4 linked regions of the Diceros bicornis minor genome follow. The protein of the gene in region 1 interacts with the protein of each later gene in a pairwise test. Links are inferred from orthologs where the notes say so. Each region holds a gene or a part of one and is shown in the gene's direction. Other genes may lie near its edges.

Region 1 (7,660 bases):
TGGCCCTATGTTTTCTTCCAAGAGTTTTATATTTTTAGTTTCTATGTTTAGATATTTGGCCCATTTTAAGTTAATTTCTGTATATGGTATAAGATAAGGGTCTAACTTCTGTCTTTTTAAGTGGATATCCAGTTTTCCCAACACCATTTATTGAAAAGACTGTTCTTTCCCCATTAAATGGTCTTGGCACCATGTCAAAAATCATTTGATCATATATGTGAGAGTTTATTTCTGGGCTCCATTGGTCTTTTTTTTTTTTTTTTTTTTTTTTTTATTTATTTATTTTCCCCCCAAAGCCCCAGTAGATAGCTGTATGCCATAGTTGCACATCCTTCTAGTTGCTGTATGTGGAACGCGGCCTCAGCATGGCCAGAGAAGCGGTGCATCAGTGCACGCCCCGGGCCGCCAGCAGCAGAGTGTGCACACTTAACCGCTAAGCCACGGGACCGGCCTTCCATTGGTCTTTATGTTTGTTTTTATGCCATTTCCACACTGTTTTGATTACTGCAGCTTAATAGTAAGTTTTGAAATCAGGAAGTGGGAGTCCTCCAGCTTTGTTCTTCTTTTTCAAGATTGTTTTGGCTATTCTGGTCCTTTGAGATTCCATATGAATTTTAGGATAGATTTTTCTATTCCTGAAAAAAACGTTACTGAGATTTTTCTAGGGATTGCATTGAATCTGTAGAGTGCTTTTAGTAGTACTGGCATCTTAACAATATTAAGTCTTCTAATCCATGAAGGTGGGATGTTTGTCCATTTATATAGGTCTGCTTTAATTTCTTTCAACAATGTTTCATAGTTTTCAGTGTACAAGTCTTTCACCTCCTTGGTTAAATTAATTCTTAAGTATTTTATTATATTTCATACTATTGAAAATGAAATTGCTTTCCTAATTTTTAGATTTTTCATTGTTAGTGTATAGAAATGCAATTGATTTTTGTGTGTTGATTTTGTACCTGCAACTTTGCTGAATTCATTTATTAGTTCTAACAATTTTTGTGTGTGTGTGGAATCTTTAGGGTTTTCTACATATAGAGATCACATTTTCTGCAAACAGAGATAATTTTACTTCTGCCTTTGCAGTTGGGTGCCTTTTATTTATTTATTTTTCTTGTCTAATTGCTCTCCCTAGAACTTCCAATACTATGAAGAATAGAAGTGGCAAAAGTGGGCATCCTTGCCTTGTTCCTGATCTTACAGGAGAAGTTATTTTCCCCTTCAAAATTACAAATTGCAGGGCTGGCCCAGTGGCGCAGTGGTTAAGTGCACATGCTCCGGTTCGGGGGCCTGGGGTTCGCAGGTTCGGATCCTGGGTGAGCACCGACGCACCACTTATCAAGCCATGCTGTGGCAGTGTCCCATGTAAAGTAGAGGAAGATGAGCACAGATGTTATCTCAGGGCAATCTTCCTCAGCAAAAAAGAGGAGAATTGGCATCAGATGTTAGTACAGGGCTGATCTTCCTCACAAAACGAAACAAAATTACAAATCGCAAATAGATTTTGACAGCAGATAAAATCATGTCTTAAATGTCAGAGAAGGAAAATATACGGGCTCAAGAGGTCATAATTAACCACTTCACATACAAAAATGTGTATAGCCAGATACCTAAGTAGATAATGTACTCCTGTTGGTTCGCAAACTTGGGAGCTTCCTGAGTGGAATCTGAAACTGTCCCCCCATACATGGAGGGCAAGGAGAGACCAAAGAAAGAGGCAGAGCACTCCAGATTGGTAGGTGGCAGGTTTAATAAGCAAGGAAACTTACATACCAGGGGCAAGATGAGTAGATCTCCATACCTGCCTGCCAGAATCTTAAAAGTTTATATAGAGGCCTTGACTGGGTTCAGTCACATATACCGTCCAGATGGTCTCAACAACACATTGCTCTCTCAAGGTTGTGTCCTTGAAACTGACTCCTACTGTGGGAATGGTGGGCAGAATTCCAAGGACAGGGGAGGGGATGAGGAGCCTCTAATTGCTTGGGTTCAGCTCAAGGGTCAACCGGCAGTCATGTCCTGTCAACGACCTTCTCCAACAACTCCCAATTGCTGATTTCAGGTTATTTTCCAACTTTTAAATCTCTGAGCCATGGAGAAAGTCTACTACTTATTTAAACACAAAGGTTTTGAATGCCTCTGACAAATCAGTACAGTCAGTCCTACATTATGAATTAAAAAGTGTTGTATTCAATAAATGTATTAGTGTAGTGGAAAGTAATGTATTACCAAGACCCCCTAAGTGAAGGGCCTGTTACCCCAGCTACAGGGAGTCCTCCTGGCAGAAGGCCTTGACCTGTTCTCTCCTCAGGCACTGCCTCAGCTTCAGAGAGCTGCCTAGTCTCAAGCCCCTTCCAAGGCAGCTCACACTCAATGATTAATGTTAGGATAGAAAGGACTCGACAACTCGGGACAAGTCTGAAGGGTCATCCCAGCTCCAGAGCTCTCTGGAGGGCTGGCGAAGACTGTCGCTGGCCTGTGTCATAGCTTCACTTCTACCTCTGCCCACTCCTGCTTCCTGTATCTCACACCCACAGGGGTTGGTCCTTAATCAACATCCTGCCTGCTAAATGCTCAAGAAATGACATTATATAAAAAGAAAACCCCTAGGACTTAATGCAGCACAGTATTTACAGAAATAGTATTATTATTCATTTATAATATTTACCTTCCATAACTCCTAAATGAATTTGAGGCAACTAACAATAGTCATAGTAATTAACCAGTAGAAACAACCACACAAACACAAGCTTTACATATAACAGCAAAGATATTTTAAGTGATTAAAGTTCAGTGTTTCAAAAGAAAATTTTAATTGATAATAATCAGTCACAAATAAACAACACCTCTATAGAAATATTTTCTGGCTTTTGCATCTGTGTAAGCACACATATAAGGAAGTAAAAAACAGAAATATTTATGCAAATAATGTTAGGAGTGGTAGTGGGGCTAGTGGATGGGTAGTCAGGGCTATGTGAGCGGCTTAGAGAATAAAGAGATGGATTTAGAGACTCCTATTCCTTTAAACAGACAAACAGGGTATGATATACCAGGACATATTTCTCCTTTGTATATAACAGTATTGAGGGAGAAAAGTAATCATCCACTTATCCTATGGTTCCTGTTTTCATATGGCAGCTACTATATTGAGGGTACTGAATGAATGGAAAACAAGCAAGAGGGGAATGACAAATATTGTACCATTAACTAGAAAACTGTTTAGAGTTATTAAGTATAACGGGGTACCAATCAATACAAAGCCTTATTTTCAATCTGTTATCTAGTTATGGGATCAGATACCGTATTACTAGCTCCTGAAGCTATTGTGGGGGCAGCTAAGGACAGATAAGGGTGGGACGACTTCATTTCCAAGGTTGACAGCTCATGACTGGTTTTGTGAATGTCTCTCTACTATAGGGTGGACGGTGAATATTCTGGACAATGCTAGAGCCTTCCAGGATTGGGAAGGGAGTGGACAACTGACGGATTTAAAGATGAACTACAAGATATCATTGCAAGCTTCAGCCCAAACATCACTCATCAGAAAGCTCTGTCATTTCTTAGTGCATACATACCCTACTCTTAACCACCATCTGTCAGCCTTCTTAATTGGGCAAGCCCAGCCTTACCACTACTTGCACAGTAAATCGACACTTTGATGAGTTTTTGTCCCAGCCCAGGAAAGGCATGGGGACTGCGAGGGAGACTGGTTGAGACTTCAGTAGAGGCTCAACTAGCAACTAGTTTGCTAGCCAACTAGCAAAGCGAGCATGGAGAGGTCCAGGAATCCATCTACCCCTAAGCCTCAAATTCTAAGTCAGCAAGTAGCCCATTAATCTGGATGCTCAGAGCCCAGCCCTACTGAGATTCCTTCCAAGGCGGGCACAGCAACCCCGGGGACACTATCAACTGTTAGCTGCCACACCATCTGTAGGCAGGAGGACCCTCTGTGGATGCCAGAGTCCATTTCTGGGCTGGCTGATTGAAAGACGGCCGCTCAGAGGTCACAGAGGGGGGTCTGTAGCTCCTTCCTACTCAGTGTGGCCGGAGGACCAGCAGCATCAGCATCACCTGGGAGCTTGTTTGGCTTGTAGAACCTCAGCGCCCAGGCCACACGAATTGAATCCGAATCTGCATTTTAATTGGTGGGCACATTAAAGTTTGAGAAGCACGGGTCCAGGTGGTAGCAATGAGGCTTGCGGACGAATCTGCTTCTCAGCTCCGCCCCCTCCCTCTCTTTGCTCTCCTCCAAAGCAAAGCTCAGGCTTGCGATGGTCCTGCACAAAATTTCTGCAAACCCGGAGTATGTGGGGAGGGGGCGCGCAGGAGCTGCTCCCCGCCGGTAGGGCGGAGGGAAGGTGTGATTGGATTGGCAAAAGGCTGCCTTCTTCAGCTCAGGGCTCCGCGGAGCGTAGACACTCCCCCGACCCTCCCCGCCCCCCCCCCTCGCCACCCTCACCCCCCGCAGCTGCTACTGCCTGCCTCCCGCCGGCTGCCACAAAAACCCGGAACAGCTGCGTGCGCTCATGGAAAGTCCTCCTAGGGGCGAAGCCGGGCAGCTGGGCATGCTCAGTAGCTGGGGGAGGCTTGGGTGGAGAGTAGAAAGCTTTGGCTCTGCCTCCCACCCCCTCCCTTTGGCCCCCGCCCCCCTTGCCCCTACCCAGCCCGTAGTAGTTGCCCGGCGTGCGCCCAGGGAGACCGGGAACATGGCGCTCCGAGCGATGTAGCCGCGGAGGAGAGGAAGGGGATGAGGCAGCGCCGCTTCGCTGACAGCCAGCCACCAGGTAGGCAGGCGCGCCTGGCGGGGCTGCCTGGGTAGATATCCGCGCGCGGAGGGGCGCTTGCGGGGATGCGCACGGCTGGGACCCGGGGCATCTTGCTTTGCCGGGAGAGGATGCGAAGCGGACATCTGTGACAGCGCGCAATTGTGCATCTCCTAGGAGATGCCAAAGGCTGGGGACCGGCTGGCTGGAGGGAAGGGATCCGGGGACCGCCCCCCGCCCCCAACCACCGCCACACGCACAGCCATGCGCTGCCATTCAGCCTGGGTTCTCTACGGGTCAAATAAAGGATAGTTCCTTTCTGCTGGGCGGGAGGGCTTGAAGGAGAACCCCGGATAGCAGCCCTGCGAGCGCGCTGGTCCCCTGGACCGCTACAAGCTCAGCACCAGTTCTTTGTGTATACAGCCGCGCACGGCCGGGGGGTGCCACGGTGCCTGCTTCTGCCCAGGAGTGTTGGACATATTGCCAGGGCAGGATTCTCGTATGGTTTTTGTGTCTTGGCAGGTGTGGACTGGAAGATGCAATAGCTGAGCCTTTATGGGGCTATGTTTTCCTTTGTTACTTGCTTGGGTGTGCGTGTGCGTGGTGGGTTGTAATGGAGAGAGAGAACTTCTGCTCGTGGGCATGGGTGTGGGCAGAGCGTGGAAGAGGATCTCGATTCCAAACTCTTGTCAAAATTGCGTGATGTCGGCCTCCTGGAGGGTAAACTTGAAAAGTCCAGGGATCATCGGTGCCCAGTTTGACGGAGAAGTGTGTTCGCCCTTCTTGAACCCCGTGTGTGTATCTGGAGCTTTAATCATGGGACCCCAGTTAATTCAACATGAGATATGGATTAAGAGAATTTGAAGCATTGGGGCTATCTGTGGTGGTCTTTTTTCGGCCAGAGTAATGAAGAAAAAGAGAAGTTGGCACAAAGCCAGAGGAAAGTGTCATCATTAATAGTTGATGACAGCTTGGAAGGCAGAATACACTTTGGGGGGAAATGGGGAAACGTGGCATGCCACAGGGTTCTACCAAGAAATAGCCATAGGGTCTTAGGTGACTCACAGACCCTCTCAGCGCATCCTTTTCTCTTCTGAGGTTTGGTGGCATGTAGACTCTCTCTTACCTGAGTCCAGATGGACAAGAGGCTCTTTAGAAGTCCTGCTACACTAGACTTCTATGAAACTGACACCGCCTTATAAGGGCTCTGCCACCTTGTATTTGTCTATCTGTTATATTCAGCAGTCCAACTCACTGAGTTAGGGAGGGAAGATAAATTTAGAATATACTTTTACTTTCTGCTTTATAATTTAAAGCATGGACATCTGTGACTATGAAGTTTAGAGACACTTCCCTTTGTACTTACACTATTTATTTTTATGGTCTCCTTAGGTGGCAAGAATGAGTCAGTATCATCAAAATGAAATGGGGTATGCTTGAGGAAAATGCATTTAAGTAAATTAAAGCCATAAATGTCCAATCTGATGATAATACCTTGACTTGGAATACATATGTGCAAAGCAGAAGCGGTGCTAACGGAAGCAATAGAAGTTGATGGCAAGTTCATTGATAGCATTGGTCTTAGAATAAAATTTTTGTGTTCCTGCGTGCATGGGTAGAGACTGATTGTACGAAGTCCCTGCAATTTGTTATTTTGTTAATAAGTGTGCGTTTTAATTGCAGGCGTTGAAAACATTGTTCAGCAGTACTTCTCCTTCACCCTGTCAGAGGCTGCTAAAACGCTGCAGGTGTGAGAGCAGGTGTTCTAGGGTGTGTCTCGGTGTCGAGACAGAGCTGAGTTTGAACTGACTCTTCCATTTGTAGCTTTGTGATCTTGGGCCAGCTATTTGACTTTCCCAAGGCTCTGTTTCCTCATCTGTAAAACAAGCCTAGGAATAGTAAGACCTACCTAGATGGGTAGGTGTGGGGATTACTCATAATACTAACCACCAGGAGAGTGGTGGTGGCCATCATGAGAAGAAGGGAAACGGATGTTTATTGAACGCATATTGTGTGCCCTGTATTACACTAGCTGGTTCAAAAACATCATCTTATTTAATCTTCCCAACTGTATTAATTTCCTAGGGCTGCCATAACAAATTACCAAAAACTAGGTGGCTTAAAACAACAGAAATTTATTCTCTCACGGTCCTGGAGGCTAGAAGTCCATAATCAAGGTGTTGGCAGGGCCACGCTTCCTCCGAAGCCTCTAGGAGAGGATCTTTCTTGCCTCTTCCAGCTTCTCTTAGCCTCAGGTGTACCTTGACTAGTGACAGCATCATTCCAATCTCTGCCTCCATCTTCACATGGCAACGTTCCCTCCTCTTATAAGGACACCATTCATATGATTTAGGGCCCATGCTAATTCAGTATGATCTCGTCTTAACTTGATTACATCTGCAAAGGCCCTAATTCCAAATAAGGTCACATTTGCAGGGCTTGAATTTGGGGGGTACATTCTTCAGCCCAGTTAGCTAACATCCTTATGATCTGTGTTTAATGACAACATTAATATGATGTCAGCATATGAGCAGAAGGTAGAGATAGAGTAGTATGGGTTTAGAGAAGACTTTAAAGGCTATTTAATCCAGCTAACCTATTTGAGGTTTTATATACCCAACCATGGTAGGGAGGAGCAGCATTCAGAGGTTCCTCACTTATATAAATGTCACTTATCTGAAAACCTAGATAATCTAGGACCTCAGTCTCATACAGGTGTCCCAAACATACCCTGTCCCAAATGGAGTTGTTAATGTTGCCTTCATCCCTTTTTGCTAACCCACCAACACAGTGCAAACAAACAGGAAACCAAATTAGACAACAAAAATGACAACAGCAACAAAAATACCCCAGTCTTAACACCTTTCTACTCTCTCTTATCCTGGTAAATGGCACCACTG
Region 2 (7,725 bases), on another chromosome or scaffold:
CAAATGTTTCTGTAGGTGCCTTTGGACATCTCCACCCGGAAGTCCCTCAGGCATGTCTAGCTCAAAGGCTTCCCCCACAAACCTGGTCTTTTTCCTATATTCCCTGATCTTAGGACAGAAACAGAATCTCCATTCAATCTTTTGCTTAAACCAGAAATTTGAACATTATTCCTAACTCCTCCTTCTTCCTGATCCCCTAATGAATCAAATCTAATCAAACGCCACAATCCATCAGCTCTACCTCCTAAGGTCCCTTGAATCCATCTCCTTCTTTCCATTCCCATTCTAACTCCCTCAGTTCAATCTTGTCACTTTTTCCTGGGAAAAGGAATGGCCTCTTAACTGGTCTTCCTGACTCCACTTTTGGCCCCTTCTTTCCAATCTTCAGGCTGATGCCAAATGGTCGCTCTAAATTACAAGTCCAATTGTGGCATTCTCTTTAAATTCCATGGTTGGTTCCCCAAAGCCTGTTGAATAAAGTCCAAACTTCCAAGAATGTTATACATGGCCCTTCAGGATGAGCAAGTGTTTCTCTCCCCACCATCGCTAGACACCCTCCCTCCATGCGTTAGCCGGGGTAATCTATACTTCATTTGTAGAAATCCACTTATTCTCTCTTTCCTCTGTGCCTCTGCACATGCACATACTGCTGCTTTCATCTGGAATGCCCTTTGCACTAGCCTCTTTACCTAGCTAAATCTTTCAAAACTCAGATCAGGAGTCAAAGAGTTAAAAGGCTAAAGAAACGAGGAAAGTGGCGACCTGAAGTAAGCAAAGTCTTCACCAGTTTAAGGCCAACCTAGAGAACAAAAGTTCTGATCTATGAGGTCCCTTATTCTAGTACAATGCAAAGAGAGAGAAAAGCTAGATTAGAAAGCGCAATACTTCATTTCCCAACTCTCAGCTCTGTCAAAACCTTCTGTGTAGTTGCGTGCCTGTGTGTGCTTTTGGGGGTGGAAGGTTAGCCGCCTAGGCACAAACCTGAATAAGGAAGGGAATTGTTATCCCTCCCCATTCCCACCTTCTCCTATCACAGCAACAGACCCCAGAGACACCTTAGCGTGGGCTTCAGACTAGAGAAGAGATGCACCTGGAGGACAATGACCCAGCTGATCCTTCCAACTCCTGACCTTCACAGAGAACAATAGCCAACCCACCCTGTGGCACAAACACCGTAACATTTTTAATCTGGGATTATAAAACACAATGTTCTGGCACCTGGAAAGTCCTTAACAAATATTTCTTGAGTATTTGGACAAACGGAAAGTAAATAGGTACCATGAGCAAAATGTTGATGATTATTGAAGCTGGGTAGTGAGTTTGAAATGTTCCAAAATAAAAACTTTTTTTAAAAATGCAGTAAAATCCAAATTCAAGTTATGTGTAAAGTATATTCAGTAAACAGTAAATAGTAGTTACTAAACAGGAGATATACAAGATATCCTTCATTTCTGAAGATAATAATAATAACATCAGGGTTGTTAGAGGACTAAATAAGATCATGTGTGTTTAAGTTCAGCACGTGGCCTGGCACATGGGAACTATAAAACAAATGGAAACTTTTTATTATTGGCAGATCTTGGCTTTGAGCCCTGCATTCAACAGTCTGTGGCCATTAGACTAAACGCTAGAGATCAGGGGTCTCACCCCAGTGTCTCCCAGTACCTTTATATAGCAGTGATTACTTCACAAATCAAAAGTTTAGTTTTTCACAGAATATAGTAAAACCTCAATTAACTGGAAGGGGTCACGTTATCTGCGGTAGCTAGAATCTCTGAATGGCAAGATAAACCTGACATTACTAGTCTGTTTTCTATATATCCTTCTCCCTGTATCCCCACCACCACCCAGATTGTACACAATTTCTCTGGTGTCCCAGAGTCTAATAAAGACTCAAAGAAGCCACTGCCAAGCAAGTTCTCTTCAAATGAACAAGACAGAGCAGGTGCACTAGAGAACAGTTGGGGAGGTGGTGGGGGCTGAAATAAATAGTTCCGGAAAGGATCGAGAAGTAGAGAAGAAGGGATTCTGCTGAGATCCTTTTGATCCTCACTTCCTTCAGCCATCACAGCTGGACAAACCTGCATCCAAAAGTTCTGGACATTTGTCAGGGCGCTTGAACAGAGGGTGAGGTGCAAAGCTTCCTCCAATCTCCAGGATAGAAACAGAACCAATTAGGAATTTCCCTATGAGTCAGGGCAGCATTTGACATGCCATCACTATTATACCTGCTTGTTATAATTTTTGTTGCTCAAAGGCACTTCTGCAGTCTACAATGCAGAGAATATGATTAAATCTTCCCGCTACAGCCTGGGATTTTTGCCCAGCCTTAAGGCCATTATTCTGAGCTGTGGTTCTTGCTACACTTAACTAGTGATGGAGAAGAAAGTATGAAGATGGCAGCTGAAGATATCATTGAGCCTAGAAAATACTGTAGAAGTCAGTCATTTGAAAAATTCCTGGTAGAAACTCATTACTAAATTTACAAGTCTTTAAAAATAAAACCATAGTTAATGAACGGCTCATTTTCTTTCTTTTACAAGAGTATATAATTGAGTCTTACATTTGCACATTTTGCTAATTAGGTCTTTTAAATTATTTAAATGATAGTCTGTAGTCTAATATTATGGAATAAAAATGATAGTGGGGATGAGGGGAAGGAGAAAAGGTAAAAACTGTCCATTTCACTTGATTCATATCTAATCAATGTTTCTTCAGTGCTCTTGAAACATGTAGGAATTTCAGATTTTAATAAAAAGTAATAGCAAGATCCTAATGTGAGGGAAACATTTTTATTACATAAACAATGATATATTACCTAAAGCCTTATGTGAAAAATTCAAGTATAAATGAGGTATAGAAATTAATACATGCAATTTAGATACTTTTAGTGTTAAATAACCAATTCTAATACTCTGATTCTAAGCTGAGAATAGAAGGCTAAATCTGACAACAGAGAAAACACAATCAAATATATGTTTAAGCAAGACATTTCAAAAGAAATGTCAGTAATTTAATAATAAAGGCTACCATTTATCAAGTATTTACTGTGTTCTGGGCACAGTGTCTACCTCTTTATCTACTTTCCATTATTTAATTCTCTCAATAACTGTACGAATAAGGTATTTTACTTCGTATTTTTGAGAAAAGAAAATGGAAACAATATGATTTAATAACTTGCTAAAAGTCACATAGCTAGTTAGTAGTTTGTGATTTGAAAATGAGTCAGTTTCATTCCAAAGTCTATGTGTTTAAATTGTCCACAAGACTACATGTTCCACAAGGACAGGGAGGGTATAGTTTGTTCTCCACTGGCACATATGTGTTCAACAGATACTGATGAACAAGTACATGTGTATCTATTCCTAATTTTGTGACTAAAAGTCAAAAGGAGAAACATGAACATTTGTAAACTGACACATGATTGTAATATGTAATTTTTAAATGTTTTAAATTGCCTATTTATATTCATTAGGTAAGTTTGTTTTCAAGGAGGACCAAGGCCCCTTCCCCATTTGAAAGGCCACACTTTGACAAACTGACCTGATTATGTGGCTCTTATTTTGAGATATTAACTTTTTCTCCCTACAACTCTGTCCCCATTTCAGGGCTTGGTTCTGTGGCACTGCCACAGGGAAGCACAGGGCAGCGCAAACAACAGAGATGCCAGCAAATCTTTCAGATTTTCATTATTTCAAAGCTCAGATAGCCACTAACCAGGAAGAAGTCATGAGAACAGAGACATCCCAGTACAACCCATGAGAACTGACAGGACTCCTATCAGTTGACTCCTTGCTCACCAGTCCTCAGGCCGTTTTAGTGTAAGCCCTTCTCATTTGTGACAATCTGGGAGAGAGGGAGGGAGGGCTTCAAGCTAATCATGTTCCCGCTAACCTGGCATAGGCTCACAATCAGAGATTAAGTTCATTTACAGTAAATAAAAAGAATAATATTGCTTCACACACGGATCTGTGGACTGAGATTCACAGACATTACAATTTTGCCCACATACTCTTCACAAGTCAACCACACACCTACCAACTTTTCTATTTCAATTTTCTCAAAATCCAAATTCAGAAAATTGGTAGAAAACCAAGAATTTATGTAGCCCAACTCCACTCTTTGATAAATTATACAAAAAGTAAACAAGGCAAGAAGCAATTGATATCCAAAGCTCACAGGGAGAAACCTCTGGATTCTAATAAACCACACCACAGAAAATCGACCACTTCTCCATCTGTAACAAAAAATCAAGGTTTTACTTTTTTTTTTTAACTAGCCACTGTATTTTTAGAAAGAGACGGCAGAACCACTCTACTAAACCTCACGGAACAAAAACTCCCAGTACATTCTGGAACGATATTCTGGCCAATCCGGCAGCCAGCAGAGACCTTACCCGGGACAGGGTTGGCGCGTGCAGCATTTAGTTCGCCCTCCTCTTCATTGAAGACACTTTGGGAAATTCTCCAATCAGAGAAGCTTAGAGGTAGGGGGCGTGGCCTCAAGGGGCGGAGAATTTGACTCCAGGAAAATGGGAAGTGTGTGCTGATTGGCCGGACTTCTTCCCTCTACAAACCAGCCCTCTTTGGGCCGAGGGAGCCATCCATCAAAAGAACTACACCAATCAGCGGCCAAAATGCCCTCCTCCCCTTCTCGCGGGAGAGCCCCGCCCTCCGATATATTACTCTGGCGGTCAGGCGCGGCCCCTTCGGCTCCGAGCTGACCCTGAGGAGGGCAGTGTCGTCTCGGCGGCGCTGCGGAGACCTCCACCCAGGACGGCTCCCCCCCTCCCCGGGCCTCTCCCCTCTTGCCCGCGAGTCCCCTCGCCTCGTAGGCCTCTCGGATCTGATATCGTGGGGTGAGGTGAGAGCAGGCCCGGGGAGGGTGTTTACCGCTGAGGAGCCACAGCCGCGATCACGGTGAGCTGGGACTGCGGGGTTGACCTCTGGGTGCGGGTAGGGAGCGGGGTTGGGAGCGCGGGGTGAGGGGTAGGTCTGGCCCGCGCCCTTTTCCTCCGGCTGCTGTAAGCAACAAGTCCAGGCTAGTCCGAGCCTGGAGGGCGGGGCCAGATCCGACCTCCAGAGATGTCTTAGAGTCAGGCCAGCCCCGTTCCAGGGACCAGGCCAGGGGCGAAAGAGTTGGACCCGTTAAGTTAGTGGCTCCTCATCTGCCCATCCCTTCCGTCGCCCAACCCTAAAGATCCCCTGCCTTCCTGTCTTCCAGTTGGTGTGGGAAGGGACTGTCGTGTATCTAGGGCTTAGCTTGTGCCCGGAACATAGTAGATGTGTAATACCCAGTCTCAAATTAATGAAACTCCCTGGTTCATTTTGCAGGCTACATTAGCCTCCCGCCTTCGCTGCATGCTCCCACAGCACCCTTTAAGCTTTCTTTCCTAACACCAGTAAAAGTTAACAATTATCGAGGGCTGTGTGCCAAGCATTGTGCTAAACTCGACATGAATTATCTTGTTTAATCTACATAGCCATTCAAAGAGAGAGATATAGATAGCTCATTTTACAGACGTAGAAATAAGTTCATTATTATTGTCAAGTGTTTATTAGGCACTTACTATATGTGCGAAGCTCTACACCTAGGGGATCTCATTTATTCCACACAAGTCTATGAGGTAGGTGATAACCTCATTCCCACCTTACAGATGAGGAACTAAGGATTAAGAAAAATTAACTAACTTGAACACATTGTCAATACATGGCAGAATACATACTACCATCTAATTGCAAAGTTTTGGTATCCTGTCTTACAGCATCTAGTCATAGTTATCGCTTGACAGTGAATGACTTGAATAAGTATTTCTTGAAGATTTGCAATTTTTTTTAAAAAGTCATGGCTCCTGCCCTCTAGAAACTCACAATTTAGGATGTGACCAATGGGTGTTGGGGGGAGAATAACAGATGGCACTCTGCAATGACTTAGATTCACTAGCAGCATTGGCAGAGGGGAGACTTTGTGTTATAAAGCACTTGGCAGAATACAACACAAGAAGGGCTATTCTCACTCTCCTTTCTGGGCTTTGTTCTATATATAGATGATAGAGGTACTGACAACTGACTCTCAGAAACTGCTACACCAGCTGAATGTCCTGTTGGAACAGGAATCCAGATGTCAGCCAAAGGTCTGCGGCTTGAGACTAATTGAATCTGCACATGATAATGGCCTCCGAATGACTGCAAGGCTGAGGGACTTCGAAGTAAAAGACCTTCTTAGTTTAACTCAGTTCTTTGGCTTCGACACAGAGACATTTTCTCTAGCTGTGAATTTACTGGACAGATTCCTGTCCAAAATGAAGGTATGTTTAAAGCTACATTACTCCGAGTATTTTTTAGTTTAGCTCAATGTGTTTTGGAGATGGAATTGCTAGCTTTGGGCTGGTATTCATAAATTTAACCTTTTTTATTTTCAGCAGGTAGCCAAAACCTTATATTAATTCTGTGTACTACAGCATTGATGAATACTCTTCCTTACAATCAAGAGTAATGCATCATTTATTAGACTTGACACTGAAAAATAGTCTAATATCAGAGTCTCTCAGTAAGAGAGTTGGCTGTTGTTTTTAAAAATCTTTCTTGATAGGTTGGGTATTTTCATTTATTTACTGTTGTTTTTAAAGTTAAAGAAATGTGTTAGAGCCAGAATGCTAGATTATGGTTAAGTATTAGAGAATATATATACAAATATTTGCTGTCAACCACCTACCTACAGTATATATTTCTTAATCTCTACTCATATATAAAGTTCTAATTGTTTTAGCCTTAGACCTACTCAAGTCTTGCTTATGCTTGGCACTTCCAGCCTCAGTCTGAATACAGTAGAAAAGAGAGAATCTTCTGAAGGAGGAGCATTTATACAGTTATTTCCCTACCTTGGATAAGCAGGACATCAGTGTAACTTGCAGAGCCTAACTGTTAAAAATACATCTGCTTTGGGGCTGGCCCTGTGGCATAGTGGTTAAGTTCGCACACTCCACTTCGGTGGCCCAGGATTCACAGATTCGGATCCTGGGCATGGACCTACAACTCATCAAGCCATGCTGTGGTGGCGTCCCACACACAAAATAGAGGAAGATGGCCACAGATGGTAGCTGAGGGCCAATCTTCCTCACCAAAAAAAAAAAAAACAAAAATACATCATTGTCATTGCCTCAATATAGCTCATATAGACCCCAAGAAACTATACTTTAGAGAAACGCTTGATGTGTATAAAAGTCTGTACATCAACTAATAAATCATTTTTTTAAAAAAAATACATCAGCTTTCTCTGTGTGCCCATGGTTGTTGGTGGATAATAAGATAATGTGACAATGAAAATGAAACTCATCTTTTAGTTCTCAGTACCTAACAGAATGCATCATATAATCCTTTGTAAAAGGAACTCAATATTTAATTGGATGATTCAAGAAACTTGTTCAACAGACTAATTAAACAAGTCTTTAGACACCATGTGCAGGCACTACCTTTTTTGTGTGTGCGTGAGGAAGACCAGCCCTGAGCTAACATCCGATGCCAATCCTCCTCTTTTTTTTGCTGAGGGAGATTGGCCCTGGGCTAACATCCATGCCCATCTTCCTCGACTTTATATGGGACACCGCCACAGCATGGCTTGACAAGTGGTGCATCAGTGCGTGCCCGGGATCCAAACCTGCGAACCCTGGGCTGCTGAAGCGGAGCACACGTACTTAACCGCTGCGCCACCGGCCTGGCCCCAGCA
Region 3 (6,228 bases), on another chromosome or scaffold:
GTCAGGGAGGCTCTGTTCAGGCCATACCTGGCCACCCCCTGCCTGCTACCCCTGGCCTTACCTGGGCTGGCAAATCGGCCAGCACACTGGATATGGCCAGGGTCCCGCTGCACATCCACAGAGAGCAGTCTCTCCATCACATGGTTGCCACATGTGAACTGCAGCTGGAGCTCATAGTGGTTCACCACCAGGGCATCCAGCCGGGCCAAGGTGCTCAAGGTCACCTGTGGCAGGTGGGCAGTGCCATGTGGGGCCTAGGCTCTCCATCCCCCTACACCACCTCTGGCTTTGTTAATTTAAGTTCTGCCCTTGTTTCCCCATGGTCCGCAGCTGTGCCCATGACCCTACCTCACCCGCATAGATCTCCTGCCACCTGGTCAAGCTGGGTGGGTTGAAGAAGGTGGTGGATGGCTGCACATGGAGCAACTCCAGGGTGGGCATGTGAGAAGAGCAGTTGAAGGGGGAAGACAGAAGGATGGTACCAGGTCCCTGGCTCTCAGAGACTTTTATGAACCAGGGCAGGCAGCGGAAGTCCGTAAGGAAGAGATGATTCAGGCTGGAGGCCCCCCATGCTCATAGAACCACACACATGAGCATAGTCCTGCCCTTCTGCCCATCTTGGGGCCAAGCAGCCAAAGCACTTCCTTGTCCCCCACGTCCAACCATGGGTCAGCTCATTTCACAGACTGGGAGTGAGGATTTGGTTGAGGAAGCAGCCAAGATAAGGAATGCGGGTCAGGGTTCAGATCTTTGCCCTTTCCTGGCTCTCTTCCAGACCCCGCCCTCCATGATAGCTTATCTGAGAAGGGTCAGGTCTCTACCCCACTGTGGAGTGGGGGGAGGGAGGTGAGAACTGGAGTTTCCCCCACCTACCAGCTCCTCACCAGAGACAACCAGAGCAAGAAGCGCCAGGGCCCTCAGCAGCACCATAGTGGCCTGAAGATACAAACAGCAGAGGAGACTCTGGAAGGCCAGACATGTTTGTCAGGCCCACCCAGTTGCCAGGTCAATTGCTCAAACACAGCTGGGCAGGTGGGACTCCTGGGCCTACCAGATTTTAGCTCCGCCCATCCCTAGTGACAGCTCTAGGCTTCAGACAGGCATCAAGAGGCCTGGAAAACCCCATTTTTTCACTGCTCCCAATGAATTCCCCCATTCATTACTATAACCTTAAGGAGATGTGAAGAGAGAAGAATCAAGCTTCAGATGGGGAAACTGAGGCTCAGAGAAGTCTTGGTCATGCAGTCCTTGGAGACAGAGCAAGCACAGCACCAGGAAAATTGGGCCCAGGACCTGCTACCTCATAAAGTCCAAACTCTAGTTTCCCACTCCCCCATTAGAATATTATCTACTTATAAAATATGTGTCCAACCATCAACAAAATCTCTCAAAAATTGTCTACATTCAACAAGCAAAAGGAATCCTTGGTGACAGAAATCAAAATAGTGGTTATCTTTGGGGATATCAACTGGAGGGGGCACAAAGTGGCCTCCTGGAGCAGCTGGAGATATTCTATACAGTATCTTGATCTGGGTGACAGCTGCACAAGTGTCTACAGATTTTAACACTTATTGAGCTGTAGCTTTGAGAGTTGACAATCATTGTATTTATGTTATATGTCAATTTTTAAAAAGTTGTCTACACTTACTCTCTCCAGTTCTTTACCTCTCACTTTCTCTTCCACCCACTGCAGTCAAGCTTATTCCTCTCTCCATGAAACTGCCCTTGTCAGAGTCCTCAGAGACCAGCATACTGCCCAATTCAGCAGTGCATTCTCCACTCTCACCTCCTCAGTGGTGTTTGATGCTTGTTCCCCTTGGCTCCTAAGTGCCCACACTCTCTCCGTTTCCTCCCACCTCCCTGGCTGCTCCTGCTCAGCTCCTTTGCTGGTTCTGCTACAACTTCCCTACCTCTAGCCGGTGCAATGTTCCAGGGCTCAGTCCTGACTGCTGCCTTCCTCTGTCTAAACTCACCTCCCCCGTCACATCCAGGAGCATGGTCTTAAATAACATCCACTCGCTTTGCCTCCAAGATCCAAGGCTTCAGTGCTGATCTCTCTCCCAAACTCCAGAGTCACACATCCAGTGGCTGACCCCGCATCTCCTCTTGGATGTCTAACAGGCAATACAAGGGTCACATGTCCACAAATGATCACTTGATTTTCCTCCCCAAATCCACTCTTTTCCAGTCTTTCATGGACCAATTCATGGCAATTCCATCAGACCAGTTGTTCAGGCCAGGAATCTAGGAGCTGTGCTTGATGCTTCCCTTTCCCTACCCATATTCATGCATCAGCAAGGCTTGATTTTTAGCTCCAAAACATACCCCAAAGTGACCCCCTTCTGTTCACCAGCCCCACCCAGGCCCAGGCCCTCCCCTCCCTTGCTGGATGAGGGCAGGAGCCTCCACTCTGATTACAGAGTAGTTCTCCTAAAGCAGCTGGGATTATCTCAACAGGAGGCAGCCTAGGTAATTCCCTGCTCAAAAGCCCCCAGTGCTCCCCCTCACACCAAGAACAAAACCCCATATTCCTTTCTAAGGCTGCTAGGAGCCTGGTTTTGCTGACCTCTTCACTCCCCCAATTATTATTATTATTATTTTTTTTGTGAGGAAGATCAGCCCTGAGCTAACATCCATGCCAATCCTCCTCTTTTTGCTGTGGAAGACCGGCCCTGAGCTAACAACTATTGCCAATCCTCCTCCTTTTTTCCCCTTTTTCTCCCCAAGGTGCCAGTAGATAGTTGTATGTCATAGTTGCACATCCTTCTAGTTGCTGTATGTGAGATGCTGCCTCAGCATGGCCATACAAGCGGTGCGTCAGCGTGCGCCCCCAGGGATCCAAACCCGGGCCCCCAGTAACGGAGCATGGGCACCTAACCGCTAAGCCAGGGGGCCACCACTCTCCCAATTATTATCATCGTAAACACCTGGGCCTTCTTTAGGTTAAGCCCTGTCCAGTTCCTGTCCTTTCAGGGCCTTTAACTGGTTGATGCCTCTGCCTAGAATGCCCCTCTTCTTGATCTCCCCATGATGGGTCATCCAGATCCCATGCAGAATGCCACATCCTCTGAGAGTCCCTTCTCCCAAACTAGCCCATCACCCTCGTTCCCCGGTATTTTTCTGTCTACTGACTTGTCTAGTCTGTCTCCAGTTAGACTGTATCCTTGAACCTAGCCTCCGATCGTGGAGCGGCCTCAGGGAACAGGCTCTGACCATTCCGGCCAGAGAACGCCGCTCTAACACCCTGCACTCAGTGGGCCTGTGGTGCCTGGCAGAGGGGATGCGGATGCCGCCGCGGCAATCGCGGCTAACCGCGCGCTCCCCACTAGAGGGCGGCCCCGCCTAGTTCGGCCCAGACTCGGGGTGGAGAGGGCGTGGGCTGGGCCTTGGCTGAGGCCTCTCTCCTGTGCAGCAGCGAGGTGCCTCGCGGCTGGAGTCCTCAGAAGGGCTGGATCCCTCGCGTCACTTCCAGGGATTGTCGAGGCCGGCTCCAGGAGCGGATTCAGTGTGTCGGCGCCGAGTGGGCCACAGCACTACCGGGTCCGAAGACTGGGGGCGCTCTGCCCGCGCTTGGGCGCAGCCAGGGTACCCGCGCGCTCGCGGGGCCCCTGCGGGAGGGGCTGCATTTCTATCCTGGGAAAAATACGGAAGCTGAGGCTACCGCAGGGAAGCGACTTGTCCTGAGTCATGCTGCGAACCCAGAGTCAGTTCAACCGCCCGGGGCGTCGGGGAGTCCGGGGCCGGACCCCGCCGGGCTTCCCGCTACAGTCCCGCCCCTCCCCCCAGAGCTGGAGCCGAGTGAGGAGCCGGCGTTGGGCTCTCCCACCCTGCGGGTCCCGAGGGGCGGGGCCACCTTAGCCCCGCCCCGGCCCTATTGGCCGCGGCGCCAGGGGCGCGGCGCGGCTGCCAGATGTTGGGGCGGCGGCGGCGGCGGAAGCTACGGAGCTCACGGAGCGGCGGAGCAAGGCGGAGGGCAGGGCGCCGCTGGCCGGCTAGCCAGGCCCTCTCCGCGCCGCTCCCGCTGGAGTTCCAAGAACCGGCAGGCCTGGCGGGGGCTCCGGCACAGGCATGCACAGCGCTCGGCTTGACAGCTTCCTGAGCCAGCTCCGCTGGGAACTGGTGAGGCTGGGGAGCGGTTGTGGCTCGTGAGGACGTGTGTACGGTGCTCGGCTGCCGTCCGGCCGGAACGACACACGGGTGGGGGGCCGTCCCGAGTGCCTATCCAAGGCAGGATGAGGGCGGGGCGGTGCAAATGGCCCAGATGGCCCGCGTCGGGTTTCGGACGCTTGGGAGCTGCGCTGGGCATCAAGTAACAGCCGCCCAGCTGGCCGTGCTGCCGGGGCGGCGGAGGGAGTTGCGGGGGAGAAACTTCTTTTGGCCCGGAGCAGGGGGCTGCGAGGAACTAAAGAAGTGCTGGCGCTGCCCCCTACCTCAGGCTGTCCTGTACCTCCTTTCTTTACCCCTCACCTGGCAAGTGCTCCGTCCTTCTCTGAAAGACTCTGTGGGCTTTGGGGAGCCGAATCCCTCAAGAGGCACGGGATGCCCCCCCAGCCCTGAGTAGGACCTACTTCCCCATGCATGCCGGCAACCCTGCCTTCCACCCTGGTGGCCGGTACCGACTTGCCCGGCTCTGCATGCTGCAGCCTGCCAGACTGCCACCAGGTCGGCTTATGGGAGCCACACGAGCTTCGTGTGCCAGCACCCCCGTGCCAGCCCTGTGCACACTAGAGGCCTTGCTGCCCAGGCCTGCAGGCCTATCCAGCCCTCCTGGGCCTTCTGTTTGGGGATTGGGCTTGCCAGGCAGGCAGAGGTGACAAGCACTGCCCCTCCCACTTCTGCCCTCTCTTTCTCTGCAGCTGTGTGGCCGGGACACAGGCTCACCACCAATGCCTGGCCCTCTTCTGCCACCCCCCAAATGTGGCCCAGGTGTGCAGCTCAAGGCCTCAGATGGCTTGGAAGAGAACTCGGTCTGTTGTGTGGAAGAAGAGGAAGAAGAAGCTGTGGTGACACGAGGCAGGAGTGTAGCCTTGGGGGGCCCCAGGGAGCATGCCCTAGACTGGGACTCTGGCTTCTCGGAGGTGTCAGGCAGCACATGGAGAGAGGAAGAGCTGCCCATACTCCAGCACCCAGCACCCCCAGCATGGCCCCCCCATAGACAGAGCCTCTCGGCCAGTGGCATGCCCCTGCCCAGAGGGGCCCCTGTGGCCAGTGCACCACCTGCTCACCGACCACGGCCCAAGTCCACCCCAGACACCTGCCTGGAGCATTGGCGGGGGCTGGAAGCTGAGGACTGGACAGCAGCGTTGCTGAGCAGAGGTCGCAGCCGCCAGCCCCTTGTGCTGGGGGACAACTGCTTTGCTGACTTGGTGCACAACTGGATGGAGCTGCCTGAGGCAGTGGGTGAGGAAGACGATGCGGGTGGGCCCCGTGCCCGTGCTCGGCCCCCCCAGTTTCTGCTTGGCCTCTCTGAGCAGCTGCGGCGCCAGCTGGCCAGGGCACGCCGGGCAGCCATGGCGGGAAAGCGACTGTCATGCCCACCTCGCTCAGAACCCGAACTGCCAGCAGATGTCTCACGCTTTGCAGCCCTCATGAGCTGCCGCAGTCGCCAGCCCATCATCTGCAGTGATGTCATCAGCTACCTCTGACCCTGCCCTCCAGCCTGGGACAATAAAGACCTTTCTTTGGACTGTCCTGGTTCCATAGCCCTGAGGCTCCAGGAGGCGGCCCCAGCCCTGTAAGGCACAGCCCAGGCAGGCGAATCTAAAGAGCCTTTTCCCTCCCTGCAGGGGTCCCTGTCATGCTCATGTCACACCCATGTGCCTGCCCCATGTTCCATCATCCATCCTCTCCACTTACGCCTTCTTTCAGCCAGCATTTATTGAGTGCTTATTGTGGACTCAGGATGCAGGGCTTGAAAGAGCTGGGTGATTGGGCTGCTGCTTGTCACAGCTCGTAGTGCAGGGGTGGGAAGGTCATGTCCTCCTCCTCACCCTCACAGCTGAGCTCCAGTACCAGCACCTGCTGCCTAGGCTTAGGCACTCGGCCTGTCACCTGCTGCACCAGTTCTGTCACCCTGGTGGCATAGGGGGGAGGGAGGTTGAGGAAGACTGAGTAGGTGAGCAGTGGCAGGCAGAAGTGACTTGGCATGGACTAGAGGGTGCTGATGGTCCATAAGGAGCCCAAGCCGGGAGCAGGAGCAGCTCAAGACAGGAAACATCTGAAACTATT
Region 4 (7,410 bases), about 8.3 Mb from region 1:
TAGTCACAAAATGACAAATACTGTATGATTCCGCTGAAAGGAGCTACCTAGAGTAGTCAAATTGCGAAGAGACAGAAAGTAGAAGGGTAGCTGCCAGGGATCGGGAGGAGGGGGGAATGGGGAGTTATTGTTTAACGGGTACAGAGTTTCAGTTTTGCAAGATGAAGTGTTTTGAAGATGGGTGGTGGTGGTGATTGCACAACAATGTGAATTTACTTAATACCACTGAACTGTACACTTTAAGATGGTTAAATTTTATGTTGTGCATATTTTGCCACAATAAAAAAATCTTTCAAAAAACTGAGTGATATTAAAATTACAATATATTTTTTTTTAAAAAAGAGTCCTCTCCTCCATGTGTCAGATATGCTGGGCACTCCACTAACAAGGGGAATGGGAAGTCTTGGGTTCCAGTTAGCATTGAACAGTAGTAATCATGGAGGACTTCCTGGAGGAAGTGAAGTGGTTGGGGTGATGCTAGGCTAAAGGAGAGAAGGACTCCAGTGGTGAATTATTCCACCTCAGTGTCCATCTGGGCCCTGCCCCTCAGCTCACCTCTTTACAGTTTCTAGGGAGACAGTCTCCAGAGAGCTTGGAATACCCACATTGCTGTCACTCGGCAACCAGGAACTGGTGGCTGCCACCACCTACCACATCCTTTCCACCATCCTGGGCCCTCATCTCTGGCATGGGCTCTGAGCTGCCCAGGCGGTGGGGGCCCAGCTAGGGAGGCATCTTCCACCTGCTTGCCTTCTCAGCCACTCACAGGCCTCACAGGGACAACTGAGACTCCTGTTGACGGAGGTAAGTCCACAGAAAGTGCTGGATGGACCAGGGGCAGGACATGGACAACCTCCAGCCCCAGGGGATCCTCCCATTTGTTCCCATCCATGGATGACCCTGGGGTCCAGGGTGGACGGAACAGTCCCGCTCTCAGGGGACTCAGAGCCTTGTGCAAGAGACAGAGCTCACCTTGTTCTTTCAATACATAGATGCTGGGGCCTACTCCACGCTGGTTCTTGGCCACAGCATGTAAAGGCGTGGCTCACCATTAGTGGGGGCCACAGCAGACACCACGGTGCCTCGCTCACTCCATAGCAGTCACCTCCAAGCACCAAGGACTACTTTCTCTAAACTCTGCAGTTCTCTGCCTGAGGGCTTTTCATGCCCACAGAAGCAGCCCTCATCCAGAGAGTGAGTGAAAAAATAGCAATGCCCTCACCCTCAACTGGGGCAACTCTGACACACGTGTCTCCCAGAGCTGCCAGACAAGATGGAGCTCCGGGTGCCCAGAGGTAACTGGCTTGATCACACGCCACCCATTGGCTGCCTCTCCCTCCCAGTCTCACTTCCCACTCCCTTCCTGCTATGTCCTGGAATCAGCTCCCAAATAAACCACTCAAATCCTTGTCTCACGCTGACTCCTGAGGGAACCCAAGCTACCACAGGGATGATGTATAACAGTATGGTGAATAATGCTATAACAGGGAGCCAAGGTTCTGTGAGATTCGAGCTATGACCAATTGTATGCGAAGCAGTGGCTGAAGCAAGGGCTGGGGGTGGGGGAGCCGTCAGCCTGGGTGCAGGCAATGAGGGGTGCATTGCTGTAAAAACTGAAAAGCAGTGATAAAGCTGACCAACCGCGAGTCTGCTTTCTATTATCTCCATGAACCAGCCATTCTAATCATCTTCGATGACAAAATTCTCCTCCCCACTGAGGCTGATAGCCCTTGCTGTCCCGTGCCCGCCCCTTGGCACCCCGCTAGTGCCAACGGCACTGAGGAGAGAGTAGCTGATTGTGGGCAGAGTAAATGGGGGAAAGCCTCACTCAGGAGGCAGCACTGACCCTCTAATCACACAGTACTAGCGCATTTCACACCTCCGGGCCTTTGCATATGCTGTTCCCTTTCTCTGGAACACCTTTTATTCTTCAGTTCACTCCCAACCTTCCATTAAGGTTCAGTGCGGTCGGGAATCTCTTTCTCCAAGAAGCCCTCCCTGACCCCCAGCGTGAATTAGATGCCTCCTCTGGACTTGCACAGACCTCCTAGAGCCCCTCTGTCATGGCAGTTTTTACACTGGATTACCTTTGTTTGTAATATTTTTACCACTAGACAGTGAGCTCCATAGGGGCAGGAACTACGGCTTGTTCATCTGGGCTTGTCTTACAGTAGACACTTGGGAATGGGGCTGCCACTGGGCGGCCAGCTTTGTGCAGTGCACAGCCTGCATCACTATCCATGGCAACCCAGCCTGTGGAGGTTTAGTGAATGACTGCATGAATGATGAATGAATAGGTTAGAATTTTCAATAACTGGGGAAGGACTGCAAGCAGAAGGGACAGAGCAAGCAAAAGATGGGATTCCTGCAAGTGCAGAGCTTCACTGTGGAAAGGGCAAATAGCTCTATGCCACAGACAGGATATCTCAGGAGTTCCGTGGCCACCAGCTCTAGCATCACCCAGAGTGTGGTCAACATACCTGCATTCCACCTCAGACTTGCTCAGCTAGAATCTCTAGAGATGGGTCCAAGAATCTGGGCACTCCAGGGGAACCCCAGAAACACAAAATTTGGAGAGGTACAGGGCCAGCTAACAAAGTGAGTGGTGGACTGCAAAGGAGTGAGACTAGCCCAATTGCGTTGAGCCCAGGCCAATAATTCACTCATTCAGCATTCATTCATTCATTCATTCATTCAATATTAAATACTTATCAAATAAGTATATATTGAGCCAGGAAGGTACTCAGGAATACTTGTGCACAACACAGACAGGGTCCCTGCTCCCTTGTCACAGTCTAGCAGGAAGATAGTCATAAACAACCAAATAAATACCTAATTAGTATCAGGTTATGATTAATGCTTTGCAGGAAAGAAAGCAGGGTACGGGGTTAAAGAGTGGAGGAGGTTATTGTGGATGGGGTGTCAGGGAAGCCCTTTGCTGAGGCTGGTAAGAGGTGAGGGAAGGAGTCACAAAATGAAGGAGCAAACCACGCAGACAATTGGGGAAAGAGCATTCCAGGCAGAGACAGCAGTACATGTGAAGGCCTGGAGAACAGAACATGTGGAAGAGGGAGACTGGTTAGGGAACTACTGCAATAGTCCAAGTATGAGATGCTAGAGGATCAGACCAGGGTGGAGGCAGCAGAAGAGGTAGGAAGTGGTCAGATTCAGAATATATTTGGAGGGTAAGGTTGACTAGCTTTGCTGTTGGATTAGATGTGTGTGTGAGCGCAGAGAGGAGGCAAGGTTATAGCAGCCAACGGTGCAGAGGATGAGGGGAGAGTTGGAGGAGATGGAGAGAGGTGGGGGTGGGGAGGAGCGGTGCAGACCATATGCAGGTTCCTGCAGACCATGGGGAGGACTTCACCTTTCCTTTGAGTGTGATGGCAGCGCCGGGAGGTTTTGAGCAGAGGAGGGATGTGATCTGGCAGGTGTTCTAACAGAATCTCTAGTTGCAGAGTGTAGAACAGACTTCAGGGAGACAGAGATGGAGTAGGGCAGTCCAGAGGTTGGCGCAGACATCCAAGCGAGAGATAATGGTGGCTTGCAGAGAGGTTTTGACTGGGATGGGAAAACTAAATTTATTTGAGTAAAAATGATACGTGGATTTCAAAACACTTGTTGAAGAAGCAATAGGCAGCAAAAATCGTGCAGGAGACAGGCCAATAAATGATTGACATTTGGTAGTGGATCAGGAGCTCTCGCTGTGCGGTCGGCAGCTGTGTCTTCTCGTGGCAAGTGGCTTCAACCCTGAGCTGGTTTTGTTATCCCCAAAATGGAGATGTCAACGGAACACACCTCGTAGAGTTGTTGATAGGGTGATGTAAAGGTTTTGGCACAGGATCTAACACACAACAAACATTTAATAAACGTTGTCCTAGGAGCCAGACCGCTAGGTTCCAGTACCACCGCTGCCACTCACTGGCTGACTGTGTCATCTAGGTCAAATCTACCCCTCTGTGCCTCTGTTTACCCATCTGTAAAATGCGGCTATCATTAACACCAACTTCATAGGGTTGGGTCCTGAGAAGTAAATAAATGACTACAAATAAAGCATTTAGAATAATGTGACACGTAGCAGGCACTGCCTAAGTCCCAACTGTTATTATGAATATGTTTTAGCCATATTTCATAACCTCTTCCCCCACCAGCACACGCCCACCCCATTCTGCACCTGGGAATCTCTGGCTCAGAACAAGGCGGGCTCTGCTCGAAGGCGGAACCCCTGCGCGTAGCGGTCCTGCCAGCTACCGGACAAAACCGGAGTCCAGCTCGGAACCCCCGCGCGCTGCCTGGCGGAACCTTTAAGCGCCGCGCGGGGCTTCCAGCCGGGCGCGCTCGCGCGCTGTGCGGGAGCTTGGAGCTACTTCCGGCGGCCGCGCCCCCAGCCCTGGGCGTCTCCATTTTGGCCGCTGGTGGAGGCGCGGCCAGGACCAGCCGGGTAGCGGAGCGGCGTCTTCAGTGCTTTGAGGGCACGTCGGCTCACCGCTCTCTCTCCCTCTTTCCTCCGCCCGCAGAGGCCGGGGGCGCGCATGGCGGGCTTGGAGGTGCTGTTCGCGTCGGTGGCGCCGGCCATCACCTGCGCGCAGGACGCGCTCGTCTGCTTCCTGCACTGGGAGGTGGTGACGCACGGCTACTGCGGCCTGGGCGCCGGCGACCAGGTACGCCGCGGGGCGGCCGGGCCGGGGAGGGGCGCGGCGTCTTCTGCGCAGACCAGGAGCCCGCAGGCCCGCAGCCCGGTGCGGAGCGCCCGGCCCCCTCCCGAGTCCGGGCCCGGGGTCCGGACACCGCGCGTCTGTCTGCGGGTCGGGGGCGCTCCTCGGGCGCAGCGTGGTATGAAAACCCGAGGACGGAAGCTCGCCCCGGCACGGCTGGCGGCCTCCCCGGCCAGGGTCGGGTGGGCCGGGCCCCGAGGCAGCGTGCAGCTCCCCTGCGCGCTCCTCGGCTGCCTGAACGCCCGCCCAGCCCCTTCCCGCACAGGGGTTGGGGGGACTCAGTCCTGCCCTCCTGCTGCCCTCGAGCCTCCACCGGGTGTCCGGGTCCAGGCACAGAGGTAGGGTGAGCTTTGATCTGCGCAGCCCCGGTCAGGCCCCTTCCTGCACTCAGCACGGCCCGGAGAGCTCGCACTCGGCACCCTGGACTGAAGGGGCGCGCCCCGCAGACCGCTCAGCGCTGCCATCCCCGCCTTCCGCACACGCACACCCTGGGTGTGAGCGCCGGGTACGCGTTCCTCCCCCAGCCTGTCCCTGCAAGACGAGCCCCTTCTGCGCTCCCGTCCTCGGGCTCTGCCTCTCGCAGCTGGGGTCCTGTTGTCCTCCCCGCAGAGCCCCAGGATGCTGGGCCCAGCCCATCTCGCCGGTTCTTTGCTGTAGCATTGTTCCGTCTCCCCTGCCCCTTCCCTGTGACTCGCGCCCTGCACAGCGGCCTACACGTGAGATTCCTGGGGGAACTGGGCCTGCCCCTTCATTTGCCTTCTGCTCCGTCAGAGAAAAGATGCTCCCAGCCAGCTCCCCCCGACACACGCTCGGGACTCCGAGCTGCCCCTCACTGTCGCTCTCTTCTTACTCTCAGAACCTGGACCAGCTCTGGGGAGCGGAGCACCTCACCCCTTGCATCTTACAGTGAAATTTTAACCTTCCTCTCTTCTCTGATTGCTTCAGTTCTCAAATTCCGTAATCCTTTTTCAGTTTCTCAGATATGTATCCAGAGTCTTCATTTTTCCTGTCGACACAGAGCTGTAGGATCCCTCCTCAAACACGGTTTACACATCCTGAGCACTTAGAGCTAAGTACTCCCCCCACCCCCCACGGCCCCCTTCCTCTGTCCCTGAGAACTAGTGACCAAGACCACCACACCCCTCTCACTTCTGCCCACCAACGGGAATTGGAAGCACAAGAACTGTCATGGATTTCTGGCTTCTTTTTTTCAGACCTCAAGTTATCTCGCTGGGACCCCAGGTACACACTTAGCATCCCCCGTCCCCACCTCTAGGCTCACTCTTACTTCATCCCGCACGTGGACTCTAGGCCTGGAGATGAGGCTGGAAAAGAAAGGCCAGCCTTGCACACACACCTGCAAGCAGGAACCGTTTCTTCCACTTACCTTGCCCTTCAGCATTTCAGACCTTGGCACCAGGTAGAGTCGGGCCCCGCTCACAAGTGTCAGGCTTCCCCTTTCAGTGCATAGTCTCCCCTCAGAAACCCATCTCTCCTCACTTGCCCACTCCAGCTTTCTCCTCTTTAGCAGCTCTTTCATTTGCCCCGGTCATTTCATTTCAGCTCTTCCTGGGAACTTCTCCCAGGAGGCTGGTGTGTAGGGTGGTGCAGGGGGAAGTGGGATTGGAGAGGCGAGTAAGACTTGGTCCTGACCTTGGAGCTCCCCCATCGGCCCTCAGCACCCCCTGCCCCTTGCCCTGTCCTTCAGATCTGCCAGGTCTGCCCTGCTCTCTGCCCCTCCTCATGTACCTCACCTTATTTACTCCCAAGTAGCTATTTCTACTCGGACACACTGTCGGAACCTTTCCTCCAGAACAGGAACTTGTTACACAGGGCCTGCGCAACTCCCTTCGCTTCTTCCCACTCCACAGATACATCAACACTGCACATCTGCTCCCACTGCTCGTCCCCTCACACATCCTGTCAGCAACAGCAACTCTGTCTGAATCACTTTGATAGCTTAGGGACATCGGTTCATATAGGTCGTTGCCTCCTTCCAGCTGGCATCATCCCTTTGCCATATACTCCTGGCCCAAAAGTTTTCAGGTGAAATATGTAGAAAGAATACGATCTTATTTTAATACTGGTTTAAAAAAATAAATAAAAGATCCTTGGCTGATTCCCAAAGGTCCATCTAATTCTACTCTGTTCATGGGGCCACGTGTTGAGTTGATGCAGGCCAGAAAAAGATGCTGGCTCCAGGGGAGGCCACAGAGTGGGGATGAGGGTTTTGAAAGGCATTGCCCTCTGTCCATCTGTCCACCCCAGTGCTAAATCATGCATGCCCTCTAAGGGGGTGGGTGCTTGTACTGCACACTGGAGTGTAGTTTTGCCTCTCTGCCCGTTCTCTTAGGTGCCACGGGAGCTCAGGTTGCACTTGTCCTCCTCTCGCTTCTGCCGAGTCTACTTTCACTCAGAGTAGAAGCTGTTTGGAGAGGCATCTTTCCTAGTAATTTATTTAAGAGAGGGTTTTATTTTTCTGGCCTGAGACCAATAGTGTTTACCAAGCTCAGAGGATGTTTATGTTGCCCCTCCAGCCACCTCCTGCTCCCCACCCTTTTGAGGGTGATAAGAGAGAGAGAAAGGTCCTGAAAGTGTATACTTGATCATATAGTATATTGACAGTTAAATGGAAAGCTGAATCGTTTGCTTTTCTCTTTGGTTTTGTCTCCTCTGGTACAAGGGAGTTGTACAT

Evidence for each region.
Region 2: the proteins of PAK5 (region 1) and CCNG1 interact in binary tests that used the Homo sapiens proteins (3 or more experiments, as listed by UniProt). The two-hybrid records come from large-scale screens. The link is inferred for Diceros bicornis minor from reciprocal best matches to the Homo sapiens genes PAK5 and CCNG1.
Region 3: the proteins of PAK5 (region 1) and INKA1 interact in binary tests that used the Homo sapiens proteins (3 or more experiments, as listed by UniProt). The two-hybrid records come from large-scale screens. The link is inferred for Diceros bicornis minor from reciprocal best matches to the Homo sapiens genes PAK5 and INKA1.
Region 4: the proteins of PAK5 (region 1) and PSMF1 interact in binary tests that used the Homo sapiens proteins (3 or more experiments, as listed by UniProt). The two-hybrid records come from large-scale screens. The link is inferred for Diceros bicornis minor from reciprocal best matches to the Homo sapiens genes PAK5 and PSMF1.

What each region holds. Positions count from the first base shown.
Region 1 is NC_080758.1:37,440,822-37,448,481, reverse strand, and holds the start of PAK5 (serine/threonine-protein kinase PAK 5), read left to right. Parts: upstream 1-4,638; 5' UTR 4,639-4,781; intron 4,782-7,660.
Region 2 is NC_080740.1:78,342,700-78,350,424, forward strand, and holds the start of CCNG1 (cyclin-G1), read left to right. Parts: upstream 1-4,723; 5' UTR 4,724-4,919; intron 4,920-6,046; coding exon 6,047-6,307; intron 6,308-7,725. UniProt on the Homo sapiens protein: May play a role in growth regulation. Is associated with G2/M phase arrest in response to DNA damage. May be an intermediate by which p53 mediates its role as an inhibitor of cellular proliferation.
Region 3 is NC_080741.1:50,922,924-50,929,151, forward strand, and holds INKA1 (PAK4-inhibitor INKA1), read left to right. Parts: upstream 1-3,929; 5' UTR 3,930-4,068; coding exon 4,069-4,119; intron 4,120-4,856; coding exon 4,857-5,645; 3' UTR 5,646-5,717; downstream 5,718-6,228. Other genes in the region: UBA7 (ubiquitin-like modifier-activating enzyme 7), read right to left, coding at 5,944-6,073. UniProt on the Homo sapiens protein: Inhibitor of the serine/threonine-protein kinase PAK4. Acts by binding PAK4 in a substrate-like manner, inhibiting the protein kinase activity.
Region 4 is NC_080758.1:29,187,328-29,194,737, forward strand, and holds the start of PSMF1 (proteasome inhibitor PI31 subunit), read left to right. Parts: upstream 1-4,398; 5' UTR 4,399-4,532; coding exon 4,533-4,661; intron 4,662-7,410. UniProt on the Homo sapiens protein: Plays an important role in control of proteasome function. Inhibits the hydrolysis of protein and peptide substrates by the 20S proteasome. Also inhibits the activation of the proteasome by the proteasome regulatory proteins PA700 and PA28.